2 linked regions of the Macaca fascicularis genome follow. The protein of the gene in region 2 interacts with the protein of the main gene of each other region in a pairwise test. Links are inferred from orthologs where the notes say so. Each region holds a gene or a part of one and is shown on either strand. Other genes may lie near its edges. The genes, in order: ATF3 and ATF2.

Evidence for each region.
Region 1: the proteins of ATF2 (region 2) and ATF3 interact in binary tests that used the Homo sapiens proteins (3 or more experiments, as listed by UniProt). The link is inferred for Macaca fascicularis from reciprocal best matches to the Homo sapiens genes ATF2 and ATF3.

Annotation. Positions count from the first base shown.
Region 1 is NC_088375.1:70,365,795-70,378,630, reverse strand, and holds the start of ATF3 (cyclic AMP-dependent transcription factor ATF-3), read right to left. Parts: upstream 7,357-12,836; 5' UTR 7,280-7,356; intron 1-7,279.
Region 2 is NC_088386.1:70,652,525-70,665,260, forward strand, and holds part of ATF2 (cyclic AMP-dependent transcription factor ATF-2), read right to left. Parts: intron 8,222-12,736; coding exon 8,072-8,221; intron 3,897-8,071; coding exon 3,690-3,896; intron 3,245-3,689; exon of another isoform or gene 3,171-3,244; intron 1-3,170. UniProt on the Homo sapiens protein: Transcriptional activator which regulates the transcription of various genes, including those involved in anti-apoptosis, cell growth, and DNA damage response.

The sequences.
Region 1 (12,836 bases), on a different chromosome or scaffold from region 2:
ATTCAACTAAGAATTATTAGAATCAATATGAGAGCCCAAGAAAACTGCTAAATATAAAAAAGACACAAAAGCCAGTACCTTTTGTATATACAAATTTTCTGTATAAAAATTTGTATATAGAAATTTGCTACATTGCTTTTCTATATAGAACTATTATCCAATTAGAAAATATAACTTTTAGAAAAGATAAAATGACAATAGCAAAAATCAACAATGATGACATTGGAAACTTCTGTGGACTGCCTTGGAAAAGCTATAATGAGAATGTGAAGGACCCATATAAAAAAATTATACAATGCTGTTGGAAAGTGTAGAAGCTTTGAATACTGAGCTTTATGGCAACGACATCAGTGCTTTGCAAATTAATTTGAATGGTCAATATAATTTCAATAAAAATCTCAATAGTGTTCTTTCCAGAATTTCACAAAATCATTCTAACGTTCAACCAAAAGAATAATTAAGCATGAACAGCAAATAAAATGTGGGTTTTTTTTTGTTTGTTTGTTTTTTGAGACTGAATTTCACTCTTGTTGCCCAGGCTGTAGTGCAATGGTGCAATCTCGGCTCACCGCAACCTCCGCCTCCGGGGTTCAAGCCATTCTTCTGCCTCAGCCTCCTGAGTAGCTGGGATTACAAGCATGCACAACTACACCCAGCTAATTTTATATTTTTAGTAGAGATGGGGGTTTCTCCATCTTGGTCAAGCTGGTCTCCAACTCCCAACCTCAGGTGATCAGCCTGCCTCAGCCTCCCAAAGTGCTGGGATTACAGACATGAACCACCACGCCCAGCAGCAAAGAAAATGTTGAACATGAAAAGGAATGATGAGACAGGGGCCTTGCCAGCTCTTAAATCATTTTTAAAAGCAAATATAAATAAGAGTATGGAACTGACAAAAGAACAAGTGTAAAAATGTACATATCAAGACATAGAAGAGATATTCTGAGATCACAGTACATATGAGAACTCTATGGTAAATAAAGCATCACAAATTAGCAGAGAATAAAAGTATTGGCCAGGCGCGGTGGCGCACACCTGTAATCCCAGCACTTTGGGAGGTCAAGGCAGGGGAATCAACTGAGGTCAGGAGTTCAAGACCAGATGAAAATGGCCAAAATGGTGAAACCTCATCTCTACTAAAAAATACAAAAACTAGCCAGGCATGGTGGTGGGAGCCTGTAATCCCAGCTACTCAGGAGGCTGAAGCAGGAGAATTGCTTGAACCTGGGAGGCAGAGGTTGCAGTAAGTCGAGATTGCACCACTGCACTCCAACCTGGGCAACAGAGTGAGATTCCCATCTCAAAAAAATATATATAATAACAATAAAAGTATTATTCAATACATTGTTCTGGGTTAACTGATTATTTAGAAAAAAATTAATCTAGAGATTTACCTCAAATCATAATCAAAATAACTTTTGATGGATAGACATAGTTAGATGTAAAATACATACACATTAAAATAAAATAAAGAAAAATCAGAAGCACATGAAAAAGTGTTCAATAACTTTATCAAGGGAATGCAAATTTAAATTACAATAAGCTACTACTGCACACCTAACAGAATGGCTAAAATAAAAATGTCTGACAACACCAAATGTTGACAAAACTTTGGAGCAACTGAATTCTCATGCATTGCTTGTGGGAGTGTAAAATGGTATAACTCCTTTGGAGAAAAGGCTGGTGGTTTCTTATAAAATGAAGTATACATCTATCCTATGGCCAGAAATTCCATCCATAGGTATTTAAGAAAAATGAAAGCATATGTCTATAAAAGGACTTTTACAAGAATGTTCACAGTTTCATTATTCATAATGGGACCAAACTGGGGACAGCCTGGTGTCTATCAATAGAGGAATGAATAAACAAACTGTCATATAGACATACTATAATGAAAGCTTACTTTTAGTAACAAAAAGACACAAATTCCTGAAGCTTACCAACACAGATGAATTTCAAGAACATTACGCTGTCAAAGAAACCTTATGCAAAAGAGTTCATGCTGTGTGACTCCATTCCACATAAAGGTCAAAAACAGACCAAACTAATCACGAAAAAACTAAAATTTGTGGTTGCCTATATAGGTAGTATGGGAGTGAGGACAGGCTGGGAGAGAACACGAGGAAGCTTTCCAGGATGATGGTAATTTTTATTTTTTAAAAAGGTCTGTAGATATGATTTACATAACACACTTATTTAAAGGGTACAATTCATTGTTTTTTCGTATCCTCATAGATATGTGCAACCATCACCTGAAAAAGTCATACCCTTTAAGTTCTATATCTTGAAAAGCATATGCATCTGTCATTTGTCAAAACTCACTGAATGATCTATTTAAGATTTATGCATTTCCCTGTAATTACATAAAATATGGAAATTTTATCTTTAAAAGGCTGTTTTCTATTAGAAGAAAATATGAAATAGTTTTTAAAGTTCTATATGAGAAAAAGTCATTCTCCAGAAAAAAAAATTGACAGATTCGATTACTTTAAATCTTAAAATCTCTCTGTGCCAAAAATATATAAATATAACTTCCATTCAAATGTAAATGTCAAGCCAGGGAATTATTATTATTCAAAAAAAATAATAGGGAGGTCTTTGTTGATATATCTTATATATGTATAAAACATTTTAAATCACTGCAGATATTAAGATTCCAACAGATGTACAGGCAAAGGCTCTGAACAGAAGATTCATAAACAGAAAATAAACTAGTTAACAAACATGGAAAAAATTTCTTTGTGTTTATAGAAATTAAAATTACATCAAGAGCTACATATATCAAAGACTGTATGATTCATATATTATTTAGTTTATTTATTTTTGAGAAATATGTTGATTCTTTTTGAGGAAATATATTTAAAGTAAATAAGAATTGCCATGAACGTAGATTTAGCTACAATAATGTTTATTACAGTACTATTTACAATATTGATGAATCAGATATTACCCAAATATTTAACATAGAGTATTAGTAAGGTAAACTACAGTACAAAAATATTACATTAACTTGGGACTCTTGTACAATCATTAAAAATTATGTTGTAGAAGAAGAAGAATTCTTATGAGGTGGAAAGAATGAAGTGGGAAGATGTTTACATTTCAAATGAAAAGAAAAAAAAACAAAAAAAAGTATTGGTTCTGTTACACTAGCTCTTTCCCCTGCATCTCCACTGTGGACACACAGGCATTGAGCTTCTGTCTACCGTCTCCCTTCTCTTTTCCCCGTTTCCCTTTGGAAGCCATTCCTGTCTTTCATCCTAGTAAGAAGGAAATAGGCTCGCATTAGAAAAGTGGAAAAATGAAAGCAAGAAGGATGTACAACTCTGTTCTGGTTAACTTTTTTATTGGGCAAAAAGTATTGCCATGATTAAAAATTCAAAGTCAGAAAGTGTATACGATGAAAAGTCTCTCTACCTCGTCCTAGGCTCTTTAATTAGTTTCTCTTATCTCCTTCCAGACATACTTTTTAGAAAGACATTTAGCAAAAGCAACAAACAAACAAATGAAACACAAGATAATAAAAAGAAAAGAAGGCAGGGAGGAAGAATATGGAGGGAGAGATGGGAAAAGAGGGAAAGAAGAAAGAGTAGAAGAAATAAAGAAAAGGGTACTAGGGGAAAAATTCAAATAAGTTTATTCTGTAACGGCTCTAAACAGCCAATGTTTATTTTAGAATATATGTTAAACATTTGGATCCTTCAGCAACCTGCTACTAACTTAAAAACACTATTAAATTAGTATTAAATTGTTTACAAGTATTTTTAAAATAAATAAACCAGGATCAGAAGTAAGGAGCCTTTTTACTTGAGATGCCTTAAGGAATAGTCGTCCACACCCAAATTAGGATGCCGGTCCAACAAACATTAATGAACTACAGTAACGACGGAGTTGGGGAGGTGAAATTACGACTGTATTGGACATGCAACTTTGAGAGAAAGAGAGCGGTGGAGGTTTAGACATTAGAAATGCCTGACCCTGCATTTACCCCATTGGAGAACTGGCCTAGGACAGAAATACCAAATGACAGTCACCAGGAGGACACACTAAATTTGCTTTCTGGCATCCTCTTCAAATATTTGGGATGGGACCACAGATCCTGACTCTCCTTAACGGCCATTTTGGATTGATTTGCCGTGAATGGACTGGCTTAGATTTACTGCTTGAAGTAAGCCTAACAATAATTATTAATGGGTCCAGGATGAAGGGATCACTCAATACAAGTAGTTCACAAAAGCACACCTGAGCCTCTTAGTTCAGGGTAGGTCGATGTTTTTGGTGTGCTCTTTCTTCGGGGCTCCTTCTTTTTCCATGAGGGCGCAAATGTGGAGCATGCAAAGGATGTATACTCAAGGGACAAGGCTTAATAAAATTGTGTTGGTCATCAAAGACATTCTTAAGTAAACAGAAATACTTTTGTGTGTAATTCAGCTTGGTAGCCCCAAAATAATAACCAATTTGTTTATGAATAACTTATGTATAAGTGAATGTATAATTAGTTCACAATTTTTTTCTTAACACATTAAAAAAATTATTGACCACTCTCCATGAGAATGACACCTTGCTAGATGCAATAGCAAACCACAAGAGCAGAGCTCTGGCATTTATAGCTTTTATCTCATTCGTTAATTCTGCAAATACTTACTGAGCACCTTCTATGTGACAGCTCTAAGTTAGACACTGGGGCTACAGTAGTGGGCAGACCCTGTCCCTACCCTACAAAAGTTCAAGGCTCTTTTTCTGATGTAGGCAGAGAAAGTGTTATTAATATTCTCACTATGAGATGAGGAAATTGAGGCATTCCCATTCCAATATTCAGTTCTGGAACAGGACTGGAGCCCAGCTTTTCGCTCCTGAGGTCTAAATACTTGGCACACTGCACTCCATGTCTCTCAGAACTTTTCCCATAATAATGAGACAAAGGAGCTTTAAGAAGACATTCCCCAGTCCCCCTCTCCATGGGCTTCTGCCCCTGTCTTTAAAACTGGGGGAAATGGGTTTTGTCCTTGTTCCTGTTTTAGAAGCAGCAGCACAGCCTTAGAATATTATTATAATTATTAATACTGGTAACATCATAAAAAATAAATAATTTGCTAAAGTCTTTAAATCCACCTTTCCCTAGAGTTGGGTAAATGGAAAATAAGCTATAAAGACATTTTTTTCCCCATAAAAAGATCAGACATCAAGGCATTCAGATAACAATGCTAGATCTGAATTGGTTCTTAGGGAACTCTAAGTTCACCTGCCTTTCATGACATCTGAATCCTTTGCACAGAAACAGACACGAGACAGAAGGGTTGTTTTTCCTGAGAGCATTTTCTTATTCCTTCACTCATTGCAGCTGTTAGCAGCAGCTGGTTACTTGAGTGTGCTGAAATGCCCACTGCCGTGTAAACACTCTCTCTAACACCCTGCATTACTCATAGTTTGAAAATCACTTTGACTCCTGAAACATAATTATGTTAATGTCAGATGAGTCAGCAGGGGGACAACATGCTGCTCCTACGGCAGCTGCACCTCCTGCCAACCTCCGAACGTATCAGAGCCTGGGGCTTCAAAAAAAAAAAAAAAAGAAAGAAAGAAAGAGAAAAGAAGGAAAGAAAGAAAAAGAAAACCCCTTTCTGTGGGTGGGAAGAGAAATTATATTTATGGCTCAAAGAACAGCTTCAAAGAAGTGGCCAATTTCACTTTCCCTGCAACATGAAAGGAAGAGTTAAGTAAAATCGCTACCCCTAGGTTAATCTGTTTATGTGAAGAATAAACAGGAATTTGGAAATTTTCTCTAGGGAATCTGTGACTTTCCCTCAGAGACGGTTCAAGACAAGTCACTCTGGTCACTGTTCAGTCGTGATCCATTAGTCGCCATACGAGGAGTTTTCACTTTCCCAGGAAGTGATGCCAGGCAGTGCAGACGGTGCATCCTCTTGGGCACCAATAGGAACCAGGAGGTTGCTCAGTTTTCAGGGGTCCCCAAACCCTGGATGGCTTCCCAGCACACGCTTTGCTCCGGCGGCATGACCCCCTCAGACAGTTTGCAGCCACTTCTGTGAGCTGTTTTCAGCGTCATTTATAACCTCTCAACTATTTTCCCTCCCTCGGCTGCTGGGGAAGGAACAAGAACTGAGTAGGACAGGGCTAGGGGTTTCTATGGCCTGGCTGACCATGACCTCCACCCCATCTATGCCCCTGGTCACAGTTCAACCTGCCAGTAACCCCAAACATCACCCCTCAGCCTGCCTTACTCCACCTGCCCTGTCCAAACTCAGGGTGTTGCTTTACATCCACATCGTGCCTCCGAAAAGGCTCTCAGCTTCCTTACCTCACTGATGTCTCACAAAAATCCATATTTTATAAATGGGAAAATTGAGTTTCAGAGAAGGGGTGTCTTTGTCCACGGTCGCACAACAAATGGCAGAGCCAGATACTCAAACTTGTGCCCTTTCTGGGCTGCCAACAACAGAACCACAGATCCACATTTAAAGGATGGAAGAGGACCAGTGGGGCTGGAAGAACCCCAAGTGCACACGTTTTTACAGATGAGAGGAATAACCAAAATCCAAAGAGAAACAGTGACTTGCCCAAGGTCACACAGCTTTTACTTGGCAGAACTAGCTGCCAAACAAGATCTCTTGACCCTCATTCCAGGGCTTTTCCTCTCTAACATCTTTACTCCCTCACTCTGGACTTATTCCGTTTAAGCACAGGAAGAACCAGCTCTCCCCATACCCAGCCTATATCCAGTTAACCTATCCATGTTACACTGCTGATACAAAGCATTCTATTCCCAAAACACAAGGGCCCCAGAAGAGGTAGGAAAGTCAAGAAGGAGAACACACTAGAAGGAAGGTGTTAACCAACTCCAATTGCTTCCTATTATGAATAATCAATGCCTTACATCGACTACAGCACTGACTAATGGTATCCCCAAATCACGGTTTCATCCAGGATGAGACCGAGACCACATCACTGCCTCACTGGGATGCCACAGGTCATCCCGCAGGTGTTATGTAACCTGAAGAGGGGTCAGTAAAAACCTTAATCCAACCTAGAGCTTCTGCAGCACTCTAACTCCTGGACTTTTTGATCCCTATCCCTCAGATCACTTCACTGAGTGCCATATGCACCGAACTGCTCACTTTCCCACCCCTCTTCCGGGTGTCACCCACCCAGCAGGGCCACAATGGGTACTCCCCCAGCTGGAGGCTTCCTGACCAAACACCTTTCTCCTGTAACATTTTTCCCACTTAGCCCCAAAGCCAGAGAAAAAGTCAAGACTCACATTTTGGGGCGAGGTGCTGAAAATCCTTAGGAAATGGCAGAGCATCCTATATAGAGGAGGATTTCTCTTCTTGTCACATCTTCCCATCTGATCCCATCCAATTTATCCTCAAGGCATGGTTGGTCAACTAAAGCTAACCCCACCTCTGCCCCCCAAAGCAACCAACAGCTGTTACTATATTGAGTGGCAATATGATGTCATATCATAGGTGACTAACCCACCAAGGCTTCCCTGCGAGCCATCATCTAAATATGACAGCCTTCCATCATCCTGACCTTTTCACGGGAGAAAGCTGAGTGAGGGGCTTGACACTGATCCGGGGCTCCAGTGCATGTCTGGCCTTCTGTAGCCAGCACCTCTGGGGACACACATGAGCAAATGAGGACACACAGGCCCCTCATGCACAGATTATTTTCTAGTAGAAGACACTTTCACCCAAAACAGCTTTCTTGCCCTGGCCTGACTTTGAAAATAGTAGCCATCAGAATAGATAAGAATCACAGTCATAGGGAGGAATGAGGAGGCCTGTATATATTTACCATGCTATATATCCAGGTGCTGGATTAGATTCTTTACATACAGTTTTGCATTTAGCTCTCAAAACACTCTGAGGAAGGCATTACAATCTCTGTAAAGTTAGAGAAACTAAGATTAGAGGGGTAAGTAACTTCCCCCAGGTTACAGGGCTTGGCTCAGATTCCAGCCCAAATCTGTGTAACGCTACAGTGGAATGAACTCTACAGAAAGGTGTTAGCACCTCACTTGGCTTTCTTAAACATCAACTTTATTGTGTAGAACAGTTTTAGATTGACAGCAAAATTAAGCGGAAAGTACTCAATTTCCCACAGACTTCCTCTTCCCACACTTGTATAGCCACTTCCTTTATCAATATCCCCCACCAGCTGGTACGTTTGTCACAATCAATTAACCTAATTAACAAATTATTCATACATGAAATCCATAGTTTACGCTGGGGTTCACTCTTGGTGTTGTACATTCTATGGGTTAGGGCAGATTTTTAAACACAAGAATCTACCATTATTGTATCCTACAGAATAGTTTCACTGCCCCAAAAACCCTCTGTGCTCCACCTGTTCATCATCCCCACTCCTCAACCCCTGGTAACCACTGATCTTTTTAGTTTCCATAGTTTTGCCTTTTCCAGAATGTCATATACAGTCATTCATCACTTAACAACAAGAATATGTTCTCAGAAATGTATCGTTAGGTGATTTCATTGTTGTGCCAACATCATAGAGTGTACTTACACAAACCTAGGTAGTGTAGCCTACCACACACCTAGGCTATATGGTATAACCTATTGCTCCAAGCTACAAACCTGTATGGCATGTTACTATTTTGAATACCGTAGGCAACTGTAACACAATGTTAGGTATTTATGTATCTAAACATATCTAAACATAAAAAAGTTAATAGGTTGGCTGGGTGCAGTGGCTCACACCTGTAATCCCAGCACTTTGGGAGGCTGAGGTGGGCGGATCACAAGGTAAGGAGTTCGAGACTGGCCTGGCCAACATGAAATCCCATCTCTCCTAAAAATACAAAAAATAGCTTCGCATGTTGGCAGGCATCTGTAATCCCAGCTACTTGGGAGACTGAGACAGGAGAATCACGAATCTGGGAGGTGGAGTTTACAGTGAGCTGAGATTGTGACATTGCACTCCAGCCTGGGCGACAGGGCAAGACTCTGTGTCAAAAAAAAATAACATTAATACGTTTCACTACTATGTTATGACAACTGTATCACTAGATGACAGGATTATTTGAGCTCCATTATATCTTTTTGCTTTTTTTTTTTTTTTAATTTTTATTGTTGTTGTTTTGATACAGAGTCTCGCTCTGTTGCCTAGGCTGGAGGGCAATGGTGCAATCTCAGCTCACTGCAACCTCCATCTCCCAGGTTCAAGCTATTCTCCTGCCTCAGACTCCAAAGTAGCAGAGATTACAGGCACCTGCCACTATGATCAGCTAATATTTGTATTTTTAGTAGAGACAGGGTTTCACCATGTTGGCCAGGCTGGTCTTGAACTCCTGACCTCAAGTGAGCTGCCCGCTTTGGCCTCCCAAAGTGCTGGGATAACAGGTGTGAGCCACCACTCCTGGCCCATTATATCTTTTGGGACCACTGTTATATCTGCAGTTCATTATTGACTGAAACGTCATGTGGCACATGACTGTATGTCCATGTGTTTTCTATCCAATTACCACACAGGTTTACCTTTTTTTATTCCATCCATTCATACATCCAATATTTATTGAGCACTGAATAAATGGAATGAATGTTTGTGTCTCCTCCAAAATTGTATGTTGAAGCCCTAACTCGAAGTCTAATGGTATTTGGAGGTGCAGCCTTTGAGAGATCATTAGGTTTAGATTAGGTCATGAGGATGGTGCCCTCATGATGGAATTAGTGCCCTTAGAAGAAGAGGAAAAGATAGGAGAGCTCTCTCTCTTCACAGGCACAACACCAAGGAAAGGCCACGTGAGGACACAGCAAGAAGGCAGCTGTCTGTAACCCAGGGAGCCAGTCCTCACCAGACACTAATCTGCTAGCACCTTGATCTTGAATTCCCCAGGCTCCAGAACTGTAAGAAATAAATATCTGTTGTTTACACCACCCAGTCTATGGTATTTTGTTATAGCAGCCCAAATTGACTAAGACAAGCACCTACCATATGTTCATCTTAGATAACAAGTCCTTAGAGGACATTGAATCTGTTTAGGTAAGTCTCTGCGCAGAGTTGCACCCATTACAGCACCTCATTCCATTAATAAATGCTTCCCCTGCCCCTTATCTTCACTATGACACTTAAAAAAATTTCTGGCTGGGCGTGGTGGCTCACACCTGAAATCCCAGCACTTTGGGAGGCCAAGGCGGGCGGATCACCTGAGGTCCAGAGTTCGAGACCAGCCTAACCAACATGGAGAAATCCCATCTCCACTAAAAATACATTAGCCAGGCATGGTGGCACACGCCTGTAATCCCAGTTACTCGGGAGGCTGACGCATGAGAATAGCTTGAATCCGGGAGGCGGAGGCTGTGGTGAGTTGAGATCATGCCATTGCACTCCAGCCTGGGTAATAAGAGCAAAACTCCATATAAAAAAAAAAAAATCTTTAAAAATTGAGATGAGGTCTCACTATGTTGCCCAAGCTGGTCTCAAACTCCTGAGCTCAAGCAGTCCTCCTGCCTCGGCCTCCCAAAGTGCTGGGATTAAAGGCATGAGCCACTGCTCCCAGCCAAGAGATTCTTTTTGATTGGGGTTGGGGAGAGATGGGTGGGGGGATAAACAGAAAGCTAGTGAGTGGTTGAAAATATGAAGCCTGTGAGGCCATCTGCATGAATAATTATCATCAAACTGTAATATAATATTTGTTATGTGTAACAATACAGATATCAAATTATTGTGATGATGATTATTATAACAAACCATTATGCAGCACTTCCTGTGTTTTAGAATTTAAGAGTTTTTACATAAATGGTAAATCTACTTGTTGCCTGAAAAGGCTGTACAGGCTGAAATATAAATAGAATGAAAGTTTCAAATAAATTCCTGGAGGGCAGATCCAGAACAAGTTATTAAAGTGGAGTTAGAAATAATCAGGGTGCATTCCTAACCTATGAGAATGATGTCATGAAGGGCAAGTGCCATAATTCAGCCCAACCCATGGTAGTGTCTCCATTGGAGGCAGAGCTCATGGCCATTGCTAAGGAGTTACTATGGAACTGGATTCCACCAGGGACCCCCGAGCTTCCAGCAAGCAGGGAAACCCTTCCACCTCTGTCAGGGTGCAGACCATGTGTGTCTCGCTGCCCCATGGCTCTCCTTCCGCAAAAGTGGAGCTTTGCTTTGTGTCACACAATGAGTCACAGGCACAGTTGGACACTGACCCAGGATTCCTGTTCTTTTGCTTGCCAGGGCTGTTTGCCGGAGATCACAATCCTTCCACATTAGTGGCCAGTTACATTTATGGTTCTTAATGACATTTAATGGGGCTTCTGGGATAAAGAAATGATGGAGAGTAAAGACTGGAAGATAAAAAATTAAAATTGAAATGACAAACAAGATCTTTATTACTGAAGGTTTAAAAATGGCAATCCACTTCACTGTGTCATTCCACTGGGAAATGATTCCTGGGTCTGAGGAGGAACAGCTCACCTGTCTTCAAACAAGGTGGGAGGCAGAAGGAAAGAGGAAGTGGGAATAGCCAGTGGTTATCAGAAATCGTGTTCTCCAATTCTTCCCTATGATTTCATGTCTATATTTACTTCATATCATTTGTCTTCCCTTCCATCGTATATATGACATGTTCCCATTTGCCATGCACATTCATGCCCTTTGTCCTACCTGCATCTTATAACAGTGGTGTGTGTGTGATCCATGGAAAAGAAGCAGGCTGGAAGTCAAGTAACTAGAAATCTCTACCCCTAACAGGCCGTAGGACCCGGGGAGGCCACCTCACCTAGACCTTAGTTATAAAACAGGGGCTTGCCTGGTTGGCCTGGAGGTAGCATACCACTCTAAGTTTCCATGTGTGTGTGTGTCCACCCCGAATACAGAGGAAGAAGTTCCTGTCCCCACAGAACCCCCATGCCCCCACCCCCAACAATACCTGAGGCTGCCAGCAGTTTTTCTCTCCTGAGGAGCACACACAAGGTGTTTGGTCACAGGCACTAGGAAACCTGTAAGAACTGGAAGAGCAGTGGGCAATGCTTCTATCAGTATGAGGGGCAGGAGCTGGGGACACCAAGGAGAGAGCCTGCTGGTGGCTGGAGACTGGGGGCGGGTGGGGAGAGGAGTCAGCTCTAAACATCTCCCAGGAGTCAGCTGGAGGTGGAAGGTGCTTCTGGTACACCTGGCATGTGTAGCCTGAGGAAGGGGCTGCAATAGTTAGCCAAGGACCAGTAGTGATTGTCAGACGGTAACAGTGACAGTGGCTCACTCACTTTGCTTCATTTCCAGGACACAGTTACCATCACTTTGCTCAAAATTTTGCGAAGTAGTTGTTGTTTCTAATTTGTTTTTGGCACAATCGTGCTGTTCCGATGGGAAACTTTATGTTGTTTTATGCTTGAGAGGGGACGATGATAGAGGAGATAACAAAGTGTTTCTTCTGCACTTGGGCACATCTGGTCGCTGGTAGGCCAGGTGAGGACTCTTTAAGTAGAATGGCCTCTCGAGTTTCCAAAAAGGAAACACAGAGTCAAGGGTGGGCCTGGCAGGGCTGGGATGGAGAGCCAAGTGGGGTGCCTAAGATGCAAAACTGAAGGCGGTGCTCATGGTCAGGCTCTGCAAGCACAGGGTGGGCACTTGATGCGATGCCTCCTCATACACCTTCCCGTGTCTGGGCCCTGAGGTCCGCCACCTCCATCTCTGGAGATCTGGTCTGGCGCGGGTTACCTGCTGAAAGGCACTGAGATTGTGTTACAAGTGGAAAAGCTGGGTCTAGGGGACTCACATGCACAGAATAAGACACACATTTCACAGCCCACCTTCATCACCAAAACCATGAACTTTGGAGCCTGATGACCTGG
Region 2 (12,736 bases):
AACTTACTTTACTTGACAAATAAGTAGAAAACAACAAAAAGTCAAAATAATATATCGACTTGAAACAATAACAGAAAGTCATAGTTGAAGTACCCTTTCTTTCTAAACCATCCACACTCTCAATTCCCTCCTCACCATTGTTTGCACGTTGGTACATGTCATTCCTAAAATGCTAACTATACTTAGGGAGTCATTTTTATACCAGTTCCTATACCTATGCATTTACCCATCTAACTGTAAACCTTTTTATTAATAAGAAAGGATTATGCTTTATTAAGCATAATAATAATGCTTAATTAAGATGCAACTGACCTTTTTTGGTAATTTACTGAGGTGAAATTCATATAACATAAAGGTAATCAGTTTAAACTGGCATTAGTACATTCACAATGTTGTACAACTACCACCCTCTGTCTAGTAACAAAACATTTCCATCGCTCCAAGGTAAAACCCCTTACTCGCTAAGCAGTTTCTCCCTATTCTCCCTCCCCCATTAATATGCCTTCTCTCTCTATGGATTTATTTATTCTGGGTATTTCACATAAATGGAATCATACAACATCTGATGTTTTGTTCTGTATTCTTTCACTTAACATAATGTTTTGAGGTTCATCTACACCATAGTATATACTTCATTCCTTTTTATGGCGGAATAATATTTCATTGTACTTATAAACCATAACTTGTTTATCCATTCAGCTTGGATGGATATTTGGGCTGTTTCCAACAACTTTCTTTTTGCCCATACAAATATATATACTATAGATATTTTCCCAGGTTAACATAAATAGATGGATATAATACTTTTTTTTTTTTTGGAGAAGCATTTTAAATAAAATCCTCGATAATATATCATTTTGGCTCCTATTTTAAAATGCATTTCTAAATCTAAGACGATGCCATCATCACCCAGTTTTTAACGATTAAAAATACTGGTTTTACTTGTTCTGTACATAATTTGAGATATTAAACTCAAGTTCAAATGTAGAGCTTAATTTAGTGATTTCCTAAATTTAGCTTCCATTTAATAGTCTCATGCTTCAAAAAATGATGTCAGCAAACTTCTACCTAATGATAAATCTTTATTTATTTATTTATTTATTTATTTATTTATTTATTTATTTTTTTGAGACGGAGTCTCGCTCTGTCGCCCAGGCTGGAATGCAGTGGCCGGATCTCAGCTCACTGCAAGCTCCGCCTCCCGGGTTTACGCCATTCTCCTGCCTCAGCCTCCCGAGTAGCTGGGATTACAGGCGCCCGCCACCTCGCCCGGCTAGTTTTTTGTATTTTTAGTAGAGACGGGGTTTCACTGGGTTAGCCAGGATGGTCTCGATCTCCTGACCTCGTGATCCGCCCGTCTCGGCCTCCCAAAGTGCTGGGATTACAGGCTTGAGCCACCGCGCCCGGCCCGATAAATCTTATCTTTATTTCTCCAATCAAAAAACTTCTACCCAAATTAGGAAGTATATACAAAGCACTGCTAAAATAATGACATTTTAATCATAGATTGTGATAGAAAAAACATGAAATAAATGGGGTCAAGATTATATTTCTTTTGAATACTGAATTTTCCATGGTTTTCTACAATAATAAAGGGCTAATAGTGGTAACCAGTGCTGCAGTATAACTAAGGAACAGCAATATCTCATTAAAAACTATTAAGATTGCTCTAAAATGGTTCAAAGCAGAAAACTTGCCTAGCTTAAAATTCCTGTAAATAATAACATATATGTATGTACTACTTCATAGTTTTCAGGTGCTTTTACTTCTTAAATAAGGCACAATAAGCCAAATTACAAAGGAAAATAACGGTAAATCTGTCTTACTAGTTTTTCTGTAGGAAGAAACCCTTGAATTGACTGATTTATGTAACAATACAGAGAAGTAAGACCATCAGGTATTACCACATCTATTATATAGGTAAGACAACTGAAGGTAACAGTGATTGTGTTTTATGTCATACAACTAAAAGAGAGCAGGTCATTCAGAAGATTTTGTTAGTCAAGAACGGAAAAAAATACACCTAAATCACTTCATTAATGTAATAATATCTGAAAATTTAATAATAAATATAACAGAGTTGATATAAAATAGCCATTTTTGCAGCATAAATTAGCACCTACAGTCTATATTATTTAAAAAAAAAGAAAATTTAGAAATGTTTTCTAAAAATTTCTGAAACTTGTTCTTGATTAAAAATTTATCAGATGATGGGCCAGGAACAGAGGCTCAAGCCTATAATCCCAGCAATTTGGGAGGCTGAAGGCGGGTGGATCACCTGAGGTCAGGTGTTCAAGACCAGCCTAGCCAACATGGTGAAACCCCATCGCTACTAAAAATTAGCCGGGCGTGGTGGTGTGCACTTGTAATCCCAGCTACTTGGGAGGCTAAGGCAGGAGAATCACTTGCACCCGGGAGCTGCAGGTTGCAGTGAGCCAAGATTGCACCACTGCACTTCAGCCCAGGTGACAGAGAGAGACTCCGTTTCAAAAACAAAAAACAATTTATCAGATGATAAATAATAAAATATATGTCTTAATAAATCCTAGAAGATAAGTACAAATTTTAAGTCTATGTGATGTGGTACATTGTATTAAAAATTTCTTCTAAATCATTAAAATCATTAAAAATAAGTTCTGCAAGACAATCTATTTGTTCTATCATGTCAATATTCAAAGCACAATAAAGACTTGAAAGATGTCTGCTTCGCATTAAAAAAATTTAAATTATAAAACTTACATTTGGTTAAATGCTATGTCTGATTTAGCTAAAAACTGTTTCCTAACCATTTAAACAGACAATTATATTGGTGATATCTTAAAGACAGATTTAAGAAGACAGCAGGTCTCTTACCATCAATTATGATTATACAGAAAGATTCATTTTTAACTGAGTATGGATAATTCAGAAGATTTAGCTAGATTAATAACAAGTGCAATTTATTAACATCAGTTTTCTAGTTGATACTTATCAATTGGTAGTTTAAGATTATATGGGAGAATATTTACGTTGAAAAAACACAACAAAAACAAAAGGAAGGAAGAAAAACAAAGGAAACAGATTTGGTGCTGCCTTAAAACTTTATACTCCATGAGGTTTTAAGAAATGTATCTGAGGCACATTGGCAGGGCAGTATGAAATGATCTGTACTGCCACTGGCCATAGTGTACCTGGTCTGTGGATAATTAGAGTCCTTCAGTTTCCAAAGCTGTCAATCTGGCACCTTTCACGAGCAATATATTCACTTTAAATAAAACAAAACAGAACAAAATTTATAATTCAAAGAATGAAAGAATTCAAAAACTGCTACTGAAGCAACTTTATAGTTGTGCTATAAACCAAAAAAATAGACAAGAAAAGTGAAATAACAGTGATATTTTTAAATTTTAAAATTCTCTGCACTTTATATCACAACTTTATAAAGTTCAAACCAGATAGTTTAGCTACTTCTGTACGCAGGTAAACATATTTTAAATTTCTTCATTGTATCAGTGTTGAAAGCTTTATATTATTTAATCTCAGCATCCAAACAAACAGGTTTACAAAACTATGATTTACTATAGATTCCATACACACCCAATATTATGTCCTAAAATGTATGGAGGCCCAACTAGAAAAAAAAAAAAAAAAAGCTATGTTCACAATTATTAAAAAAGAAATAAAACAAAATTCACATATATGCACCTTACCTGCAGCTGACCATTTAATGAACTCAAGTCTTCTGCTTTCTTCTCTAAAGACTGAACCCAGACTTTCCTTTTTTGTCGGCATCTTGAAGCAGCTGCTCTATTTCGCTCTAAAAACTTTCTCCTTTTTTCATCAGGATCTTCGTTAGCTGCTCTTCTCCGACGACCACTTGTACTTTGGGTCTGTGGAGTTGTGTGAGCTGGAGAAGCCTATTATAAACAGAGATGAAAGCTTGTTATATTTGTATCTAGTGAGTGAATTAACATAGGCAGTAAACGGTGTCAAAGGGGGACAGCAATTTTATTTTCTAAGTTTTGTTGAATACATCAGTATGTTGGGACAATATGAAAATGTGGTTTAACGTCTTTCTTGAATATACTTATGTTAGGAGCTATCTATAACACAATTCTCACTAATGCAATGTCACAGCAAATGTATTCTTTATATATAATATTTTCATTTACATACAAATATGAAAAAATTTAAAATATGATACAAATGATATATAGAAATATTTTTCCAAGTGTATTTTAACAGATTTTATTGTATTATTCAATCCCTGGAAAACTGCTGATTATAAATTTCTCAAAATGTTTAATAACTTCCTATTTAAATTCATGATAGAAAACCAAGATTTCTATGCTATTTTTAAGTTAAAATATCTCATATTAAATGTCAATTTTCTTAAAGAAAATTGGTTTCTCTAAAGTTATGAAGTGAAAATATGTATATTCTTTGGTATATTCCGATTTTCTTCAGTTCGTGAAATTTACGGTCAGTCTTTTTCTAAGGGTCAAGTTCTTGTATTTATTAATGCTCATTTTTCTGATAGGGAGAATCCCACAGGAACCTTAATTTTCATTTTAATTATTCCCTCTGCTCCCCAGTGAATCAGCTTGGTTATCTCATATTAGCCAGAGAAAAAAGGAGACCTTCAGTCACTAGTAATACTGTCTAGTGTTTAAGACTATAAAACAATGGGTACCTTCAAGCCTTTCATGAACCCCAAAACTGTGCCACAGAACAAATGAATATGGGTGTCAAAAAATGAACTCTTGGCTGGGCGTGGTAGCTCATGCCTGTAATTCCAGAACTTTGGGAGGCCAAGGAGGGCGGATCACCTGAGGTCAGGAGTTCAAGACCAGCCAGGACAACATGGTGAAAACCTGTCTCTACTAAAAATACAAAAAATTTAGCTGGGCGTGGTGGTGCATGCCTGTAATCCCAGCTACTCGGGAGGCTGAGGCACAAGAATCGCTTGAACCCGGGAGGCAGAGGTTGCAGTAAGCCAAGATTAACACCACTGCATGCCAGCCTGGGCAATACAGCAAGACTCAGCATCAAAAAATACAAAAAAAAAAGAAAGAAGAAAATGAGCTCTTGGAAATGGTGCAGAGAAAAGAACACTTTGTGGCTATAGGCACATAATCCAAAGGAGAAGCCTGAAAACAATCTTTTACCTATGATTTATTATATTTAAAAATGGTATGCACAAAGAAAATTTGTTTTCTCCTAATCTATGTAATACAAATCTTACATAAGGCTCAAGTTAAATTCTGCAGGTAAATTACCAAACTATTTTTCACTCTAAAAAATTCCAAAAAATAAAGTTATCATTTCTTTGTCCAAACAACTAGCATTACAGAGAGAGTTATTTCATTTATAAAGTATTTCACACCTGGGCAACATAGCAAAACCTCATCTCTACAAATAATTTAAAAAATTAGCCAAGTGTGGCGGCATGTGCTTGTGGTCCTAGTTACTCAGGAGGCTGAGGTGGGAGAGGACTGCTTGAGCCTGGGAAGTCGAGGCTGCAGTGAGCCATGACTGTGCCACTGCACTCCAGCATGGGCAACAGAGGAAGATCCCGTCTCAAAAAAGTAGTATTTTAATTGTAATAAAGATTAAGCATTTAAATTAGAGTGTTTCTTTTACCTACGTAATTGTAACTTAATGTTTTAGAAAAATATTTCTATGGTTGGCTTCAAGATTTGCAATATTGAAATTTTTTCTTCATTCTCCTATTTTCCTTTTTTTTTTTTTGAGACAGAGTCTCGCTCTGTGGCCGAGGCTGGAGTGCAATGACGTGATCTTGGCTCACTGCAACTTCTGTCTCCCGGGTTCAAGTGATTCTCCTGCCTCAGCCTCCCAAGTAGCTCAGATTACAGGCGCCCGCCATCACACCCAGCTTAACTTTTGTATTTTTAGTAGAGATGGTGTTTCACCAGGTTGGCCAGGCTGGTCTCAAACTCCTGACCTCAGGTGATCCACCCACCTAGGGCTCCCAAAGTGCTGAGATTGTAGGCGTGAGCCACATCCTCCTATTTTTCTTACTGAGAATAGTAGGTTTTTTCTTTTACTCAGCTGGCTGAATAAGAGAGAACAGTTTATTTTTGGTTTTAATTGATTTAACTCATTACAGCAAAGACTAATCATAAGTACTAGAAGAATAGCAGAAGCTTAATTTCTGCTACTCAGAGTTATAGTTGTATATCTTTATGCCTATCAAGGATTGGAGGCTTCTTAGAAGTGTATACTGCTCCTTCTCGTCCCATGTCTATTGATTAATTCATTCCATTTCATTCAGAAAATACTTATAGGAACTATTCTAGAAACTAAGTATAGCAGTGAACAAACAGATAAAGTCCTGCCCTCATGGGGCTTCCATCCAATACAACAACATATAAATATACAAATAAAAATTAGATCCAGGAAAACTATAGTTAGTACAAGAAAGGACAATAAAAATAAATTATATTCATTTTTTAAAAATAACCCTTTAAAAATGTAAAAAGTCATACTTAACTTGCAGACCACAAAAAAACACCCATGGGTTGCATATGGCCTGTGAAACATTGTTAAACCCTGAGGTATAACATTAACACACATACACAATCACTCAGCCTCTCATTTTCCCTTTTGGTCCCTAAGCTGTTTAGTGGATGACAACCACAACTACATTTCATTATGTTAAGTTTTTAAAAGACAAGATGCAGTTATGTAAATACTTATGCTTAGGTGGCAATCTAAAACTTGTTTATGTGTGTTTCTTTGATTGAAAACTTTTGCTTTTTAATGCCAATGCTAATATTCTTCAAGTAAAGATAAAAGGTCTAAATAGAATTCTGAAACACTTAACAGGAGTACAATAATCCTTTACTAGAAAGAATTAGAAAGGCACTGCAGGCATATAACAATATCAATCATCTCACAGGCAGTCACAGACTAGAGGTAAGTGAAAGGGGTCTCCAGTATAAACAGCTGCCATAAAGCGTATTTGCTCCTTTGGTGATGTTTCACAAGTTTTAATTCAGCAACCATTTGATTTATGTTAGTAATGTAATACCTACATATGTGTGTATGTGTGTGAATATTTATCTACATATTTCTCTAAAAGACTTCTGATTACCTACAAGTGAGATAAGGTTACTTATACAAATAAATAACAAAGAGTAATGTTTTACAATGAGTGAGCAAATATTAAAAGCAGAAACAAGAATTATTTGTTCTGCTAGTATCGGAAACAGAAAAAAACATCTGCCTCTTTGGGACATACACACTTTAATGGTTGTACATGGCAACACAATACTAAAATATGATATGCATTGTAATCACAAACATATGGCATTTTAGGAAAAAGCAAAATCAATAATTTTTTAAGACGAGATCCAAAAAGATTCTTTAGAAATCTTAGTTTTGCTACTTGAAAAAGAACATAAGATTTAGTTATATACATTTCTGAAGAACACAGCATCCCTTAACAAAGAAGTTATTGTCTATAAAATTTACAGAACTTAACCTATTAAATTTTCCTATAACCTCAATACCTTGGTTACATAGGAGAATAGGTCAAATCAAACCTGTTTATGCCACAGCAAGAAAAAATATCTAGTGTTATTAGTTATGGTTTATGTCAAATTTGTAGTTTTGGACAATAAGAAAACAAGATACAATTTCATTCTTCTCACTATAAGGTTCTAATATTATTTTTCTAGTTATATAACTATTTTCCAAAGTCATAACTCTATAAACTTCCTCAATCAGGAAACAGAGAGTAAAGGAAATTTCTCAAAGCAGTATTTAGTTTCACTGTCCTAAAATCAACAGAAAAAGATATTTTCTTTAAAAAGAATCGTGCCACGTCAGACCAACATATATGGACACCCACAGAAATAGTTACAGGTGTCCTAAACAGAACAACCGCTCTATTATGTTTATTTTTGTATCAATTCTTGTACACTGAGCTACCTTTTCCTAAGGCTTTTGATACCCCTTTGGAATAACAACATGACCAGAATAATATTTTTTAAATAAGTCATAAGTTATACTGTACTTGTCTGTTTAAAGATGACAGAGTGCTGAATAATAAAAACAACACACATACCGGAGTCTCTGTAGTGGATGTGGCTGGCTGTTGTAATGACTGTGGTCGAGATTCCTCTGACTGAGTCCTAACCAATCCACTACCATGACCTTTGACAGTATCACCATTGGTAACTGGAGGATGTTGCTGGGTCAAAGCAGCTTTTAATCTCTGAAATGCAAACACCATTAAAATTTTTTTTTAAGTCCTTAAAGATCATCATGAATATCGGTAAGACAAACAGTGAGATCTTAGGTAGTTTCCTTGAGTCTTTTTGCCTAGTACTACTAGAGGATTATGTATTTTGCTGTTTCTAGTGAATTTTGAGAAAATAATAATAAAGGCCTTAAAAATGTAACATCGTGTCATTGGCCAAGTAAGCACTGGCACCAAATCTGCAAACAGAGATCAAATGGGGACAAACTGAGCCTCCTCCTAGAACCTACAGCTGAGTTTCTCTCTCTTAGGTTTTTCCTGTCCCCAGTAAGCAGATCTAGTTCTCTTTTGATGTTGCAGTTTGCCAGTTAATTATTGGATTGTATTGGACTCACATTCAGAGCATGATAGATCTAGTATTAGAATGAGGCCCCAGATATTTATGTCTACCACTTTCTCAAGATACAATTTCAGTGAAGCTTATTATGCTATCAATAAAAATTTGTCATATATGACTATTTTATCTCCCAACCAGTTAGTAAGCTCTTTAAGAGCAGAGATTATCTTATACTTTTGGGTATTCCTTTTAGCAAATGGTATAATTATTTGATACATAGGTATAAAATAAACACTTGTTAACTGATAGAAATTGATTTCTTTAGTGAAAATGGTCATATGTGATCTTTAAGGTGGTTTTATTGTTACGATCTGTAAATATGAAATAATTTGCAAAGATAAATCATACCACAGTACCTTAGCAATGAAAGGGACTTCGGGGATCCCACAGACCTGAGACTATTATTGCTGATACTGTTCTTAATAACTAAGATGTAGTTCTTGGGCCCCAAATATACATTATTATAGAAATTGGAGTCAGAGTTATATATACTACACTTTCCTACGATTCTTATAAAGGTGCATCTTTGAGGGGGATGGAGGCTAATAAGAGAGTGAGAGCGAGTGCGAGTTAGAGACAAAAGAGAGAGACAGAGACGTGAGAACTATGTTGCAGCCTACCCAGTGTTTCCCAAACTTCTCAGAAGTAAATAACTGTCTGGGGTGTTAAGTGTTAAGAACACATATTCTTGGCAATCTTTTCCTTTCTTCCTTCCCTGAGTATAGCAGAAAGGGGTGAGTGAGAGAAGAGCTTTTGAAAAAGATCCCCAAATAATACTAGTACAAGTATTTCCATTCACTTCAACTAAGAAAAATTCAGAAATTTTTATAACTATTTCAAGACTTGTAATTTCTTTCTTTTCATCTAGGCCTATCTTCTTACTATGTGATCCAGATCCCATAAAATCTGAAGCATATATGAAAAGATCACCAGAATTTTAACTGAGGCAGTAATTATGCATGAACAAATGTTACTGGACATTTTTTCTCTCTCTTGCGAATCACTGTATATTCTGGGTGTGATTTTTAAAATAAAGTCAATTTGTAAAAAGAAAAGTTTTCTTGAGATATAAGTTACGCATAGCAAGTTAACTCTGTTTAGTGTACAATCCCATTAATTTTTTTTTTTTTTGAGAGGGAGTCTCTTCCTGCACCCAGGCTGGAGGGCAGTGGCATGATCTCAGCTAACTGCAACCTCCACCTCCATGGTTCAAGCAATTCTCCTGCCTCAGCCTCCTGAGGAGCTGGGATTACAGGCCCATGCTACCACGCCCGGCTGACTTTTGTATTTTTAGTAGAGACGGGGTTTTCATGTTGGCCAGGCTGGTCTGCAACTCCTGACCTCAGGTGATCCACCCTCCTCCGCCTTCTAAAGTTCTGGGATAACAGGAGTGAGCCACCGCGCCCGGCCTCTATTGAATTTTAACAAACAAATACACTCATGCAACCTACCCTACAATCAGGATACATAACAGTTTTACCATAACAAAATCCTCATGCTCTTTCCTGTCATACTCTCCTCCCTGGCCCTGGAAACCACTGATCTATTTTCTGATCCCAAGAGTTCTGTCTCTTCCAGAAGATCATATAAATGGAAACATACATTGTATGGCCTTTTGAATCTGGCTTCTTTCCCTTAGCACAATGCAGTTGAGATTCACCTGTGTATTATCTGTGTTATCTATTATCTGTATTATCTATATTATCTGTAGTTTTTTAATGAGTTTTTAATTGTATAGTATCCCCATTTTACACTTTAGGAAACTAGGTATCATTTGCTCAAGGATGCAGAGCTGTTAAGCTAGTTCAAATTCTGGATATAAACCTAGATCTCTTCAATTTCAAGTTCAAAATATTTCCATGGCACCATGCTGCATACTTTATCCTTGGTGCTACCAGAAAACACAGGGAAAGATCAAGAAAGAGAGTCTGAAGCTTTGTGGCTTAATGATTCAAAAGACAATCATAAGGATTGAGAGTGCCAAACCTGTTAACTGCAACTGCTAAGCCAGGATCAGTCATGTTTTCTCCCTCTTTTCTGACAGACTACTTCTTCATGAATTATAACAATTACCACTTATGTAGTATCTTGGTGCTTTCACTGATTAGAACATGCAATGTACTATGGTCTTATACAGCTGAGAATACACTTTAGGTTCAGCACCTAACTCCACCTCAAACTATCTGTGACTTTGAACTTAACATTGATCTTTGAGTCTCAATTTCTTTACCTATAAAACTTGGAATAATAACTTCCTTGCAGAGTTGAGTTGAAAAACAAATGTAACATGTAAAACTATCTGACTTGTAAAAGAATTTTTCAGATGTTTCCTTACTTCTTTAAGAATACTATTGAGGCCTCTATTTTCTTAGTACGGAGGTCCAAAGAATCAGGAGAGTTTCTATGTTTCTGAATTTTCAAAATGTCCTTAAGGGTCATCTTAAGCATTACTTTGATCCCAGACATATTTTATATGTGAGATGTAAAAACTAGAGGTTCTTCTTCAAAGACTTTCCTCCCATCTAATTAGGAATAAATAGTAACTTCTCTTAGAAGCAAAATTTATTCAAAGACCTGTGCTAATATTCTTAAATATCTGCTAGCTGTAATAAAGAAATCAATGTACTTTATGTTCTTAGCTCCCACAATTTAGCCTAAATATATGCCCTGGCATGCTTATACTGGTCCAAGCAAGCATTAGGTCATAGCCTGTTCCTCTTCCTTATTTGAAGGTGTTTTTACCTTTCTCAGGATCCCACAAGTTACTTTCTCCTTCCTTTATTATCCTCTGCCTTTGTTGCTTTAAAAAGTTCTAAGTTGTGGCCGGGCGCGGTGGCTCAAGCCTGTAATCCCAGCACTTTGGGAGGCCGAGACGGGCGGATCATGAGGTCAGGAGTTTGAGACCATCCTGGCTAACACGGTGAAACCCCGTTTCTACTAAAAAATACAAAAAACTAGCCGGGCGAGGTGGTGGGCGCCTGTAGTCCCGGCTACTCGGGAGGCTGAGGCAGGAGAATGCCGTAAAAACCCGGGAGGCGGAGCTTGCAGTGAGCTGAGATCTGGCCACTGCACTCCACCCTGGGCGACATAGCGAGACTCTGTCTCAAAAAAAAAAAAAAAAAAAAAAAAAAAAAAAAAAAAAAAAATAAAAAGTTCTAAGTTGCTAGCCAATCGGGACAAATACAGAATGTGAGGTCCCGTTCCAGTCAACAGAAAACACACACAGCTGTAGGGTGGACGCGTCAGGTTATAAATGACCCTGTCTCCTTTGTTTGGTGTACTCTTGTGGGAAAACTGCTGGCGAGTGTACCCTTTCTGCAGAAAGTAAAAAAACTGGCCTTGCTGAGGAAATTAAATTCATGTTCACGTGCTATTTCTTTACGGCACCGGGGAACAAGCAAGCATTCCTGACAGAGACATGCTCAAGACCATACCAAAAACTGAATTTTTCAGAATCAAGACAAGATTCCTAGTTCCTTTTATAAACAATCAGAAACAACTATATTAGTAGCTAAAACATAGGCAATTAGGACCCTAATAATTGATGGGATAATGTGGAAGTGGATGGATTAAAACTGAAATTAAATGAGGGACTAAAGTAGTAGCTGGCTAGAATCAGATAGGAATACTCAGGAAAATGATGAAGAAGTATTTAAAGTAGAAAGACCTGAGTTGGAAAAGTGTGGGTCAGAACAAAGGGAGACAGTCTTGGGAGGTCATAAGTCTGCATATTTACATATTTTATAAATAGAATGTTAGACATCAAAATACAATGACTAGTAACTAGTCTATAGTGATACATTGGGGCTTTCATTTCTAGTTTTAAAATGTGCACAGACATAACTAGAGGTAGAAATGTGAGGCTTAGTAAATTATGTGTTGGGAAAACATTTTTAAGTCCTTAGGTAGAAATCATCATAGAATTGAAGAGCATTTAAAGTTTTACAGTGAAGAGCTTAACTCTCAGAATTAATGAAATACAGTAACTGCACATAGGGGAGCCTGAAATACATAAACATCACTCTCTTGAATAATCTTTAGTAGGGCAAGTTACTACCTTATAGAGCACTTAAAAGCAGCATCAGTATCCATTCATTATCCTTCCTTGACTGCCCTAGGGTATACAGTACTCA